Linked DNA regions of Coturnix japonica. The protein of the gene in region 2 interacts with the protein of the main gene of each other region in a pairwise test. Links are inferred from orthologs where the notes say so. Each region holds a gene or a part of one and is shown on either strand. Other genes may lie near its edges. The genes, in order: RBM15, NAV2 and ING5.

Region 1 (3,754 bases), on a different chromosome or scaffold from region 2:
CACAGCTTGGGGGCTCCCCCGGCCTGCGATGCTCCGTCCTGCTGCTGTTTCTGAGGTGGAGGTTTGAGGCGGGAGCCTCCACCGCCTCCCTCTGCAGCACGTTCATCCTTTTTGGCCGGGCTTTTGCACTCCTGTGCAGCAGCAGCAGAAGTGCGATGTTTCCGCTCCCTTTCAGCGGAATTCTTTCGGTCACGCTTTTCGTTCTGACCCCTCTCCAAGCTGCCCCTCCGTGACTCCCGGATGGGAGAGGGCCGCTCCAAGAGGAGCAAGCGAGACGATGAACGCTCCGGGTCGCTGCTGTAACGCTCCCTCCCCCCGACGAGCTCAGGGCTGCGGTCTGGTGGTGTGGTCGTGGTCAAGCAGTGACGCTTCCGAGAGGAAGAAGAGCGCTCGCTGTCCGGAGAGCGATCCAAGTGCCGGCCTCCGTCCTCAGCCAGCCTCCGTTTCCTAGGCTGATCCCTACTACTGCCCAACTCCCGCTCCCCTCGGTCCCGCTCTAAGGACCAACCATCCCGACGGCGTTCTAGGCTTTCCAGTGGGTCGTAGGCAGCTGCTCGGTTACTCCTGTCCCGTACAGGGGGTGGGGGTGGCACCCACTCTGTCTCGGGATAAAGGTCTCTATCACGGTCTCTATAGAGCAACGGTGGCGTCCTGTCCCGGGCACCCCGCAGAGGATCGGGTGGGGCCCCCCGGTGAGCCCCAAAAGCAGCCGCCTCCGCCACGAGCTCATAATGAGCAGGAGGGGGCAAAGGCAGGGGCTGCAGGTAGGGCTGCTGGTACCGATGCTCGGTATCCGCAAAGTCAACGCGGAGGCGGCGATCCGGCCCACCCAATGGAAAGCCACGCATGTGGGTGCAGGCCGCCTGCGCCGCGTCCAGGCTCTCATACTGGATGTAGGCCCATGAATCACCTTTGCGGTAATCAATGGTACGAATGGTGCCAAAACGGTCAAACTCCCTGGCCAAGGCGGCAAGGGGCACCCAAGGCCCGAGGCCACCCACCCAGAGCCTGGTAGTTGGAGTGGCTTTACCATACCCAATCTTGATAGGGTTACGCAGGAGCACCTTTCCCGACATGGCCAGCTTGGCTCGATGCGCCATGTCCAGATTCTCAAACTTAAGAAACCCATAAGTGCTAGTCTGCCCGCGCCCCGGCCTTTTGATGTCCACCTCAGTAATGACCCCAAAACGATCAAAAGCTCGACGTAAATCTGTCTCGCTCACGGTGATGTCCAGGTTGCCCAGGAACAACGTGCGGTTGGCTCTCTGGTCATCCTCAGGGCTGATCTCCTCCTCACTGGCAGCTCCAGCACCCCCTCCTCCTCCACGGAATCCCCCAGCAGCCGCCACGCTGGCCACCCTTTCCAGCCCATAGGCCGGCCGCACTCGCGCCTCATAAAAACCCCCATAGTCCCTCTCCCTCTCCAACTCCCTGGGCAAAGGGGGAGGGGGCGGCAAGCGGCCCAAAGCGAGCTGCTGCAGCCGGTAGTCCCGGTAACCCAACGCCCCTCCGCTGCCGGCGGGGGACAAAGCCCGCTGCGTCGCCCCAGCTGCGGGATGCCGTACAGCTGCCGCCGCCGCCGCCAGCCCCACGGCTGCCGTGCCGTAGGGTGACTCCTTGTCCAGCAGCGCCGGCGAACGGCTGCTCCTCCTCCTGCTGCTCCCTCCGCCGCTCCCCACGTAGACGGCCTCGATCTTCAGCGGCCGGTCGTACAGCACGAGGCGACCACGGGCGTGTTTAGCGGCTCGTGCATCTTCAGGCCGTCGGAAGTTAACGAAAGCCACACGTTCATCCGCAGCGCCGGTACCGGGCGGGAGGCGACTGATTTTAACACTCACATCTCCGAATCGTTTGAACTCATGGAACAGCCCGTCCTCCACCGCCTCGTCGCTCAGAGCCGAGCCCAGCTCGCTGATCTTCAGTGTCTTGTACTCCCCGCTGTCAGACGACGACGACTGGGCCGCAACCGTCCGGGACTCACCCCCGCGGCTGCTGCTGCTCCGTGACGGCTCCGTGCTCTTCCCGCCGTACCCGTGCCGCCCTCCCGTGCCCGTGGCCGCCCCGCTCTCGGTCCGTGCGGCCTTGTCCTGGTGCGGGCCCCGCCTCCCGCTGTTGTTATCGTTCGAAGCCGCCGCCGCCGCTTTGCCGCCGTTGGAGCCGCCGCCGGAGCCGCTGGGCTTCTTGCTGCTCCGCTCTCGCGTTGAGGAGGAGGATGAGGCCGAGTCCTCGCCGCCCCCTCCGCCCCGAGACCGCTTGGCTTTGGCGGGGGAGCGCTCCTTGCCTTTCATGGCGGTGCCCGGCGGGGCCGCCTCCCGCCCGGCCCTGCGCCCCGGCGGCCTCACCGACGGACCGACCGCCGCGCTCACGCATCCGCCGCCATCTTGGAAGCCGCGGCCGCCGCCGACCCCGCCCCCTCGGCGCCCATTGGCCGCTCGCAGCCTCACCCCACCCTCTCTCTCCCGCCGGGCGGAAATCCCGCCCCACCGCCCCGCCGATCCTCGTTCCTATTGGCTGAGGGAGATGTCTGTCTATGGGCCGGCCTCGCGCGCCGGGAAGAGCCGCCCCCCATCCGCCCCGCCCCGCTGTCTCATTGGATAGTTAGAAAGGGCGCGGCCTTCTGATTGGTCCAGCTCTCCTGTCACTAGGAGCGGCTCTGCCTTTTTCCCATTGGTCATTGGGCGAAACTCTCTCCTCCTTCCAATTGGTCCTTTCACCTGCCAGTTATCTCGCCCCTGCTCCCCATTGGTCCGCGGGTTCCCGTTGTCCCGCTCAAATTCTCGCGAGCAGCGCTTTACCCGCCCCCTTTTCCCATTGGTCACTGCCAACCTGGTCTGCCTTGTTCTGATTGGTTGAAGCCAATGCCACTCCTGCAGAAGCGCGGGATGCTGCCCACGCTCCGCTCTTCGTTTACCATTGGACGAGAAAATCTCCCTAAGCACCCGATTGGATGCGGGTAGGAGCTTGCGGATTGGCTAATATGGCTGTCAGTCAAGCGCGCTTTGATTTTGATTGGTCTCCTGGTGGGTGTTGGGGTTCATTAATTACATGGAGGGTGTTTGGGTTCATTATATGGGGGCTGATTGGGTTCATTAATTACGTGGGGGTGATTGGGTTCGTTAATTACCTGGGGGGTGATTGGGTTCCTTAATTACATGGGGGGTGATTGGGTTCGTTAATTACCTGGGGGTATTTGGGTTAATTACCTGGGGGTGTTTGGGTTCCTTAATTACATGGAGGGGTGTTGGTGTTCATTAATTACCTGGGGGGTGATTGGGTTCATTAATTACATGGGGGGTGTTTGGGTTAATTAATTACCTGGAGGGTTTGGGGGTTCATTATGGGGGGGGTGTTTGGGTTCATTATATGGGGGGTGATTGGGTTCATTAATTACATGGGGGATATTTGGGTTCATTAATTACCTGGGGGGTTTGGGGGTTCATTAATTACCTGGGGGGTGTTTGGGTTCATTATATGGGGGATATTTGGGTTCATTAATTACCTGGGGGGTGTTTGGGTTCATTATATGGGGGATATTTGGGTTCATTAATTACCTGGGGGGTATTTAGGTTCATTACCTGGGGGATGTTTGGGTTCATTAATTTACCTGGGGGATATTTGGGTTCATTAATTACCTGAGGGGTGTTTGGGTTCATTATATGGGGATATTTGGGTTCATTAATTTACCGGGGGGGTTTTGGGCGTTCATAATACCTGGGGGTATTTAGCGTTCATTACCTGGGGGGATGTTTGGGTT
Region 2 (3,654 bases):
GAAATCTGAGATCAAATAACGGAGCAGTGAAATTCAGCATCAGCATCTTCTCTTTGAGGTTGAATGTGTTTCTAATGCAGTATTTCAATTATGGCTAGCAACGTGGCTTTCTATTCATCAAAAAATAAATCAATCTGCAATCAAAAAATCAATTGAATTTCCAGATTTATGTGCCGAGGTATACAACACTGAAAATCTGCATTTGCCATGCAGCATGCCTTAGAATTGAAAGGTCTATCTGTGTTTTTCATTTTAAAGGAGTCACTGATGAAGATTAAACATCCTACAAGACATGGCTAATCTAAAGATAACTAGGAATAAAACAAATGAAGTATCTGGAATTACCCTCGCCAAATGCTCTTCAAAGAAAACCACTCATCTAAAAAGAAACAGCTTACAACTCTATGAAGCTTTAGCCTAAGCTGCCATCACAGCCATTATGCTTGCACTGGTGCTTCAGATGGAATGCAGCTTTATCACATCACTGCAAGCAGGATGATGTAGCGTAACTGTATGGGTATCATGGTGTCAAGACAAAATGAAATGCAAAACACTGCAACTTGAAACAGACAAGCTACTCGATGTCAAATTAAACTGAAAAATTATATTAATGAAACCTTTCACTAATATCAGACTTTGATGTCAAGAAATTAATGCCTGCCCAACTCAGCTTTCATGTTAAAGTAACGTGTGGGGCAACGATGGAGAAATAGAAGGCAAGTAAGACACCTGTTCAAAAATACCACTGAGATAAGAGATTTCAACCCAGCTTAGACAGGAATTTCTTTTAGGCTTCTTTGTATTTGAATAACCCGCTATTATGAGTGTTACAAAAGCTATTTTATATCTAAACTCTGTATCTTAGGTTCAGAAAATCAATGTTGAATAAACGATCATAGATCAGACATACAGAACTGCAAAATTTCTGAATCTCTTTGTGTTCACTCCCTATTCTCAAGTCCAGAGACTATTACTGTGGTTCCAAATCCATCCTTGGTGTTTCTTCATTGAATCACTGAATAATACTTTCGCAACATCAACCCTGCTCACCCATATCTATACGGACTTGCTATTTCCATATCAACAGCGCATCGTACTGGGGATGAAATTATTCAAAGTAGGTGTGCCATACTGGGGATGAAATCTTACAAAGCAGGTGTCTACTGGACTGTCCTCAGAGCAGAGGACTATAGCATTTCTAGCCAAGAGCTCCTGAAGATATATGGCTGTGTATGCCCTGAGCAGAACTTCCTCTGTTCTTGAGTACGCCCAGGTCATATGAACACCATATGCACCTATTCAGCCTGTCCAATCAACAGTTCTTATGACAGAGACTCGTATCACAACTGCCCGTACTTCTACCAGACAGATTGCTTTTCTTTTCCATATGTTAAACTCTTGCTCTTGTCTCAGTGTGCTCTGTGTATTTACAACACTAGCCCAACTGTTTATGTGAAATTAAATACAAAGACCTTCATGTAGGACACTAAGCGCTCCTCAAAATACAGCCAGACCTGGCTCAAAGAGTCCTGGACCATTCAGCTCTAACTAACATCATTTCACAATCAATGAATTTATTGCCTACCTGCGCAAAGTGGGAGAGGCCACATCAGGGTACTTGGCTCCTTGCTGGTGAGTACTTTGAGCTCCACTAGAAGCAGTCTGTGATGCAGGGTTCACTTTAACAGAATTACATGAGGCCACGCTTTCGTTGTCAGACGAAATCCCTTTCTCTTTATCAGTCTGATTGACTAATCCTGGCAGAGAGCTTCCAAGAATTACCTTGGCCGGCTCTCTCATTTTAGGGACAGGCAACCCAGCTGATTTGCTGCTTATGTTGGAGTCTATGCTACTAGTGCTTGATCTATTCCCAGCTCCACTTCTGCTACTTGATTTACTGGGCCGGGGTAAGCTACGATACTGAAGGTTAGTTCGGGCACTAAGCGCTAAGTAGCCATCATCCTGGTTCTGTGAGCCATCAACACTAGTCTTCCGACCAGCGGTCCTACCCATGAGTCCAGATGACTTTGGGATTTTTCCCAGAGTAGCTGATCTACTGGTGATAGTTGCCCCACTGGCCGTAATGATAGTCATGCCTACGGCTGACCCGCTCTGTTTCTTAAATCCGAATGCATTAGCATTAGCAGCAGTTGTTCTAGAGTTACTTGTGGGAAGCTTTTTGGATTCATCACCACTGCTGCGTCCTGCATCTGATGGGGAACGTTTAACATGTCCAGCCTTAGGAGATAGTCTACCCTTTTCTGATACCTTGGCGTCATCAGTTTTCCCTACAAAAATAGAAAAAGAATTCTAATATTTAATGACTTGAAAACAGCAAGCAAATGATGAAACTCAAAGCAGCATGAAAAGCAAAAGCGTGCTAGCCACAAGAGTGTGGTTAAAAACTATGATCTAGTCTGCACTGAACTTAAAGGCCACTCTAATGAGTTATACATGCAGACTTGTCAGAGAAAGTAGCATGTTTGCCCTTCATAGCACGAAAAACAGAACAAACTTATGTAATAGTGACAGATTAGCAGCGCTCTGTAGCTACTACAGATTGATCCCTTTTTATCAGCAGAAAGAAGCTGTGTTAGGTAGAGTTATTTTCCTATAATGTATTTTTCAAGAAAATAAGTAGTGACTTCAACTTTCTTTGTGTTACAGTTGTTCACACAATCAAATAAGAGGTATTAAACTTACATTACTTGCTTATGTAAATTCAATCACTTTTCATTCACACATCTGCAAGTGCTAAAATCAACTCTAAATTTATGAGAAAGCCCAGAACTAAAAGGTGTTTTATTATAAATTAGCATGCTGGTTTAGTACTGGCTAAAAAAACCCCTCTCCTCAACCACATTCACTGTATATTCTTAAAGTTAATCGTGACTTCAAAAGCTAAAATTATATTATTCAAGCCTCATATGTTAACACTATGCCCAAAAAATAGCTTGGCTTAAGACCAGGGTTGTCTAAAAAACAACTTTCATGGTGTACAACTACAAAATACTCATTTTAAAATGAAGAGAAACAGAAATGTGGACGTACGAGTTGCCGTACAGGTTTAAAAAAATACCTAAAAATAAAAAGACAAGATTACCTGAAGTTCAGGTTCTACCTCTGTAAAGTATTCAGACTGTTTCCCCACTGAGTGCCCTTTTTGTTTGTATCTTACACCTTTTCTCACCTGTTCCAGGTGTCTTTAATGCGCCCGAGGTGGTTGAAGGTTTAGTCCTTGGTGTGGTAATGCCAACCTGAGCCGACATGCCCCGTCGCCAGGAACCCGTCTGCGAAATAACAGCATTCTTCCTACCAGAAGTGCTTTTATCAGATTCATCAGACACATCAGAGGGATTCCGCCTCCATTTAGACCCTGGCTCCATTTTTATGCCACTGTCAGATCCTCCGTCTGATTTCTTGACTTCATCGCTGGACCATAAGGAATTCCGCTCGACCTGGGAATGCTTTTCTGCATCAGTCTAGGACAGATAATGAATTACAATAGAACCTTCATAAGCACATCTTCCTTTTGAGCAGCTTCACAGAAGAGAATCATTAAACTGATTAATAAAGTCAGCACTCATCTCTAAGTACCAGTAAACACAACATGCCATTGAATAGGAAAAGTCACAGTAAGAAAAGAGCCCAACA
Region 3 (2,694 bases), on a different chromosome or scaffold from region 2:
AACAGTGTACTGAATAGTCTTGAATAATATAATTGTGTTCTGTGAAGCAAGGAAGGAGGCATTTCACCTGTCTGTCATGTGTTTTTTTTAAAGGCACTCTGTTAATTCCAATATATTCCATTGGTTAAGTGGCAAGTTGAAAAGTTGTTTTTGTTTGCAGCTCCGAGTTTGCTGACACCATCCTGTCAGTGCATCCCTCAGATGTCCTGGACATGCCTGTGGACCCCAACGAACCCACCTACTGCTTGTGTCACCAGGTGTCCTACGGGGAGATGATTGGCTGTGACAACCCAGACGTAAGCACTTGCTTTATTGCTTTATCGTCTAAATGCACTCTGTATCTTTTGAGACAGACAGTGAAATTCAAGGGGGTTACTTGCTCATTTTATCATCCAAAGTGAATGTAGCTGGTGAAATGCTAAGCATCTCCTCTGTGGATTTTTCCTTTCTTTTGCAGTGCCCGATTGAGTGGTTCCACTTTGCTTGTGTGGACCTCACCACCAAACCAAAAGGGAAATGGTAAGGACATGCAGGTTTTTGACTTCTGTCAGGCTATAGTTTCTCTCCAAAGGAATCACAAAAAGAATTGAAGCCCCATGGTGACCCTTCCCAACAAAGGAACTTCGTTCTTGTGGTCGGAGTTTTACACCATGTTGGGTTTGGGACTATGAAGGAGTGCAGAATTTCATGATAAGCAGGGCAGTCCATGAGCTTAGGCTTTTGTCAGAGTGTACAGCTTACATCTCATGTTTGCATTTGTTGATGTGATTAAGGTTAGGAAAAGAATATTTTCTGTTCTGCTTAGGGGAGCACAATGTAAGACTACAGCAGTTCTTCACCTATTTGTGTGCTATTTTAGAAGGAGTCCTAGGCTTTTTCCGTGCTTGCTTTCTTTTGCAAAGGAAAAAAGCTTTGCTAAACGTTGGCTTTTGCAATTAAAATACCACGCTCTTCAGTTTGCATAACAAAAGCAAAATTTAAAGAGGAAATGCAACGGCAGTACTGCATGGAGTGGGAACAAGTGGTAAGACTTGGTCATTGCATTTCAATCGGATATGGCGGTGGCAGCATGCAGTTGAATGACAGTTGAGTTGTTGAGTCTGCAGACTTTTAAAGACATGCAAATCCTTCTGTTTGGTTCATCTGACTATAAGATGCATGTTAGAATCGAGGTTAAGCAGAAGTGAGCTGCAGCCATTTGCAATCATTGCTGGGGCAGAATATCATTTTTCCTTTGACTGTAGAAGAAGCTGATGTACCAGCCTTGAGAAATTTGGTTGGAATAGCTTGTGGGTGAATGCAATAGAGCCCCTCAGAGCTGTGAGGGGCAGGTGAGCCCCTGTAGCCTTCCAGTGCTGTCCCTTCTGCCCACCAGTGTCCATACGGTTCGTTCCCTCTGCTTAATATTGCTGCATGCCATGTGAAGTGTTGCAGTTGGCTAAAATTAACACCGCCTCCACTCATTTCCAAGTAATGGAAAAGGCTCCCGAGTAATATGTTGTTAATTTTAGGAACTAATTAACAGCCAGGTTTTTTTTTCTCTCTCTCTGTAGGTTTTGTCCACGTTGTGTTCAGGAAAAAAAGAAAAGCAAGAAGTAAAGGGGAATAACCTCCTCTGAGGCGAGAAGAGTTTTAATATATTCCTTCCTTCATGTTGCAATATCATCTTTGATTTTGATTGTGATTTTAAAAGCTGCCCTCCTCCCATTTCTGATACGCTATTTAATTACCCAGCGGCCAGTTGTAATTCCTGTTCTTTTGTAAGAAAGTGACTTTGGGAAGGGAGGAATTTGCCACAGGGATTTTATTTATGTTACTCTGGCACTGCACTGACATCAGTGTTACTCCGAAGTGCTAGAACAGCCCATAGTCTGCTTGTGTTTTAGGAGTCTGTTAAACCCTGAGAGGCACTGCAGGACATTGAGATACCCAGCCTTCGGTGTGATGCTGCCTTCGGTGTGATGCTACCATCGCTGAAGTCATTCAGACCTGGAGCTTAGCATGGCAGGAAAAGCAATTCTCTCTCGTGCAGCCTACAGGAAAGGATTATCTCCATTGCTCTGGTGTGATGCCCCTTTGTTGTGCAGTTTTGTAGTACAGAGAGGATCGAAAAAGCTGATTAGCTGCTCCCAGTGGCTGTTTCCTCAGAGCCAAATGCTGTGCTTAGTATTGGCAGGATGAGTACGGGAGAGAGAGAGAGAGAAGACCATCCTTAGTATCTTCTCCTTTGGGGGAATTTATTCTGTCTAACTTTACACTGCCATTCTTTTACTTGGTTTTGCTCATATCCACAGCCTCAACAGAAGCAAGCTGTGGCTTTTAACCTCCTCGTGTCTTCTGGAACAAAACCTTTAAATATCAAAGGGGTTTTCCTGCAGTGCTGACAGTAGTACTGAGAGAGCAAGTTACCTTTCCTGTCAGTTTTTGTTGCTTTAAAAATGAACTTTAAGTGTGTTACTGTGAAGTTGATACCCAGAGTATTGTGGCAGGGGGTCCGATTTATCCATGCAGTAAGATGAAGGCTTGATGTTCTTATATCTCAAGCTTTAAGGGGAGATTCTGTTAGAGCAGTGTGTACATGCCAGTGATGATGCAGCAAAGCTGAAGGGCGGCTGTGTGGTAGCGTGGTGGCAGTTTGGTTCTTGGGTAGCTTTTGCTATGAAAAAGTGCCATTAGAGAAGGCAACGCAGCAGG

The links.
Region 1: the proteins of NAV2 (region 2) and RBM15 interact in binary tests that used the Homo sapiens proteins (3 or more experiments, as listed by UniProt). The two-hybrid records come from large-scale screens. The link is inferred for Coturnix japonica from reciprocal best matches to the Homo sapiens genes NAV2 and RBM15.
Region 3: the proteins of NAV2 (region 2) and ING5 interact in binary tests that used the Homo sapiens proteins (3 or more experiments, as listed by UniProt). The two-hybrid records come from large-scale screens. The link is inferred for Coturnix japonica from reciprocal best matches to the Homo sapiens genes NAV2 and ING5.

What each region holds. Positions count from the first base shown.
Region 1 is NC_029541.1:1,765,642-1,769,395, reverse strand, and holds the start of RBM15 (RNA-binding protein 15), read right to left. Parts: upstream 2,422-3,754; 5' UTR 2,289-2,421; coding exon 1-2,288. UniProt on the Homo sapiens protein: RNA-binding protein that acts as a key regulator of N6-methyladenosine (m6A) methylation of RNAs, thereby regulating different processes, such as hematopoietic cell homeostasis, alternative splicing of mRNAs and X chromosome inactivation mediated by Xist RNA.
Region 2 is NC_029520.1:1,594,692-1,598,345, reverse strand, and holds part of NAV2 (neuron navigator 2), read right to left. Parts: intron 3,483-3,654; coding exon 3,191-3,482; intron 2,289-3,190; coding exon 1,586-2,288; intron 1-1,585. UniProt on the Homo sapiens protein: Possesses 3' to 5' helicase activity and exonuclease activity. Involved in neuronal development, specifically in the development of different sensory organs.
Region 3 is NC_029524.1:3,638,890-3,641,583, reverse strand, and holds part of ING5 (inhibitor of growth protein 5), read left to right. Parts: intron 1-160; coding exon 161-296; intron 297-457; coding exon 458-519; intron 520-1,553; coding exon 1,554-1,599; 3' UTR 1,600-2,694. UniProt on the Homo sapiens protein: Component of the HBO1 complex, which specifically mediates acetylation of histone H3 at 'Lys-14' (H3K14ac) and, to a lower extent, acetylation of histone H4. Component of the MOZ/MORF complex which has a histone H3 acetyltransferase activity.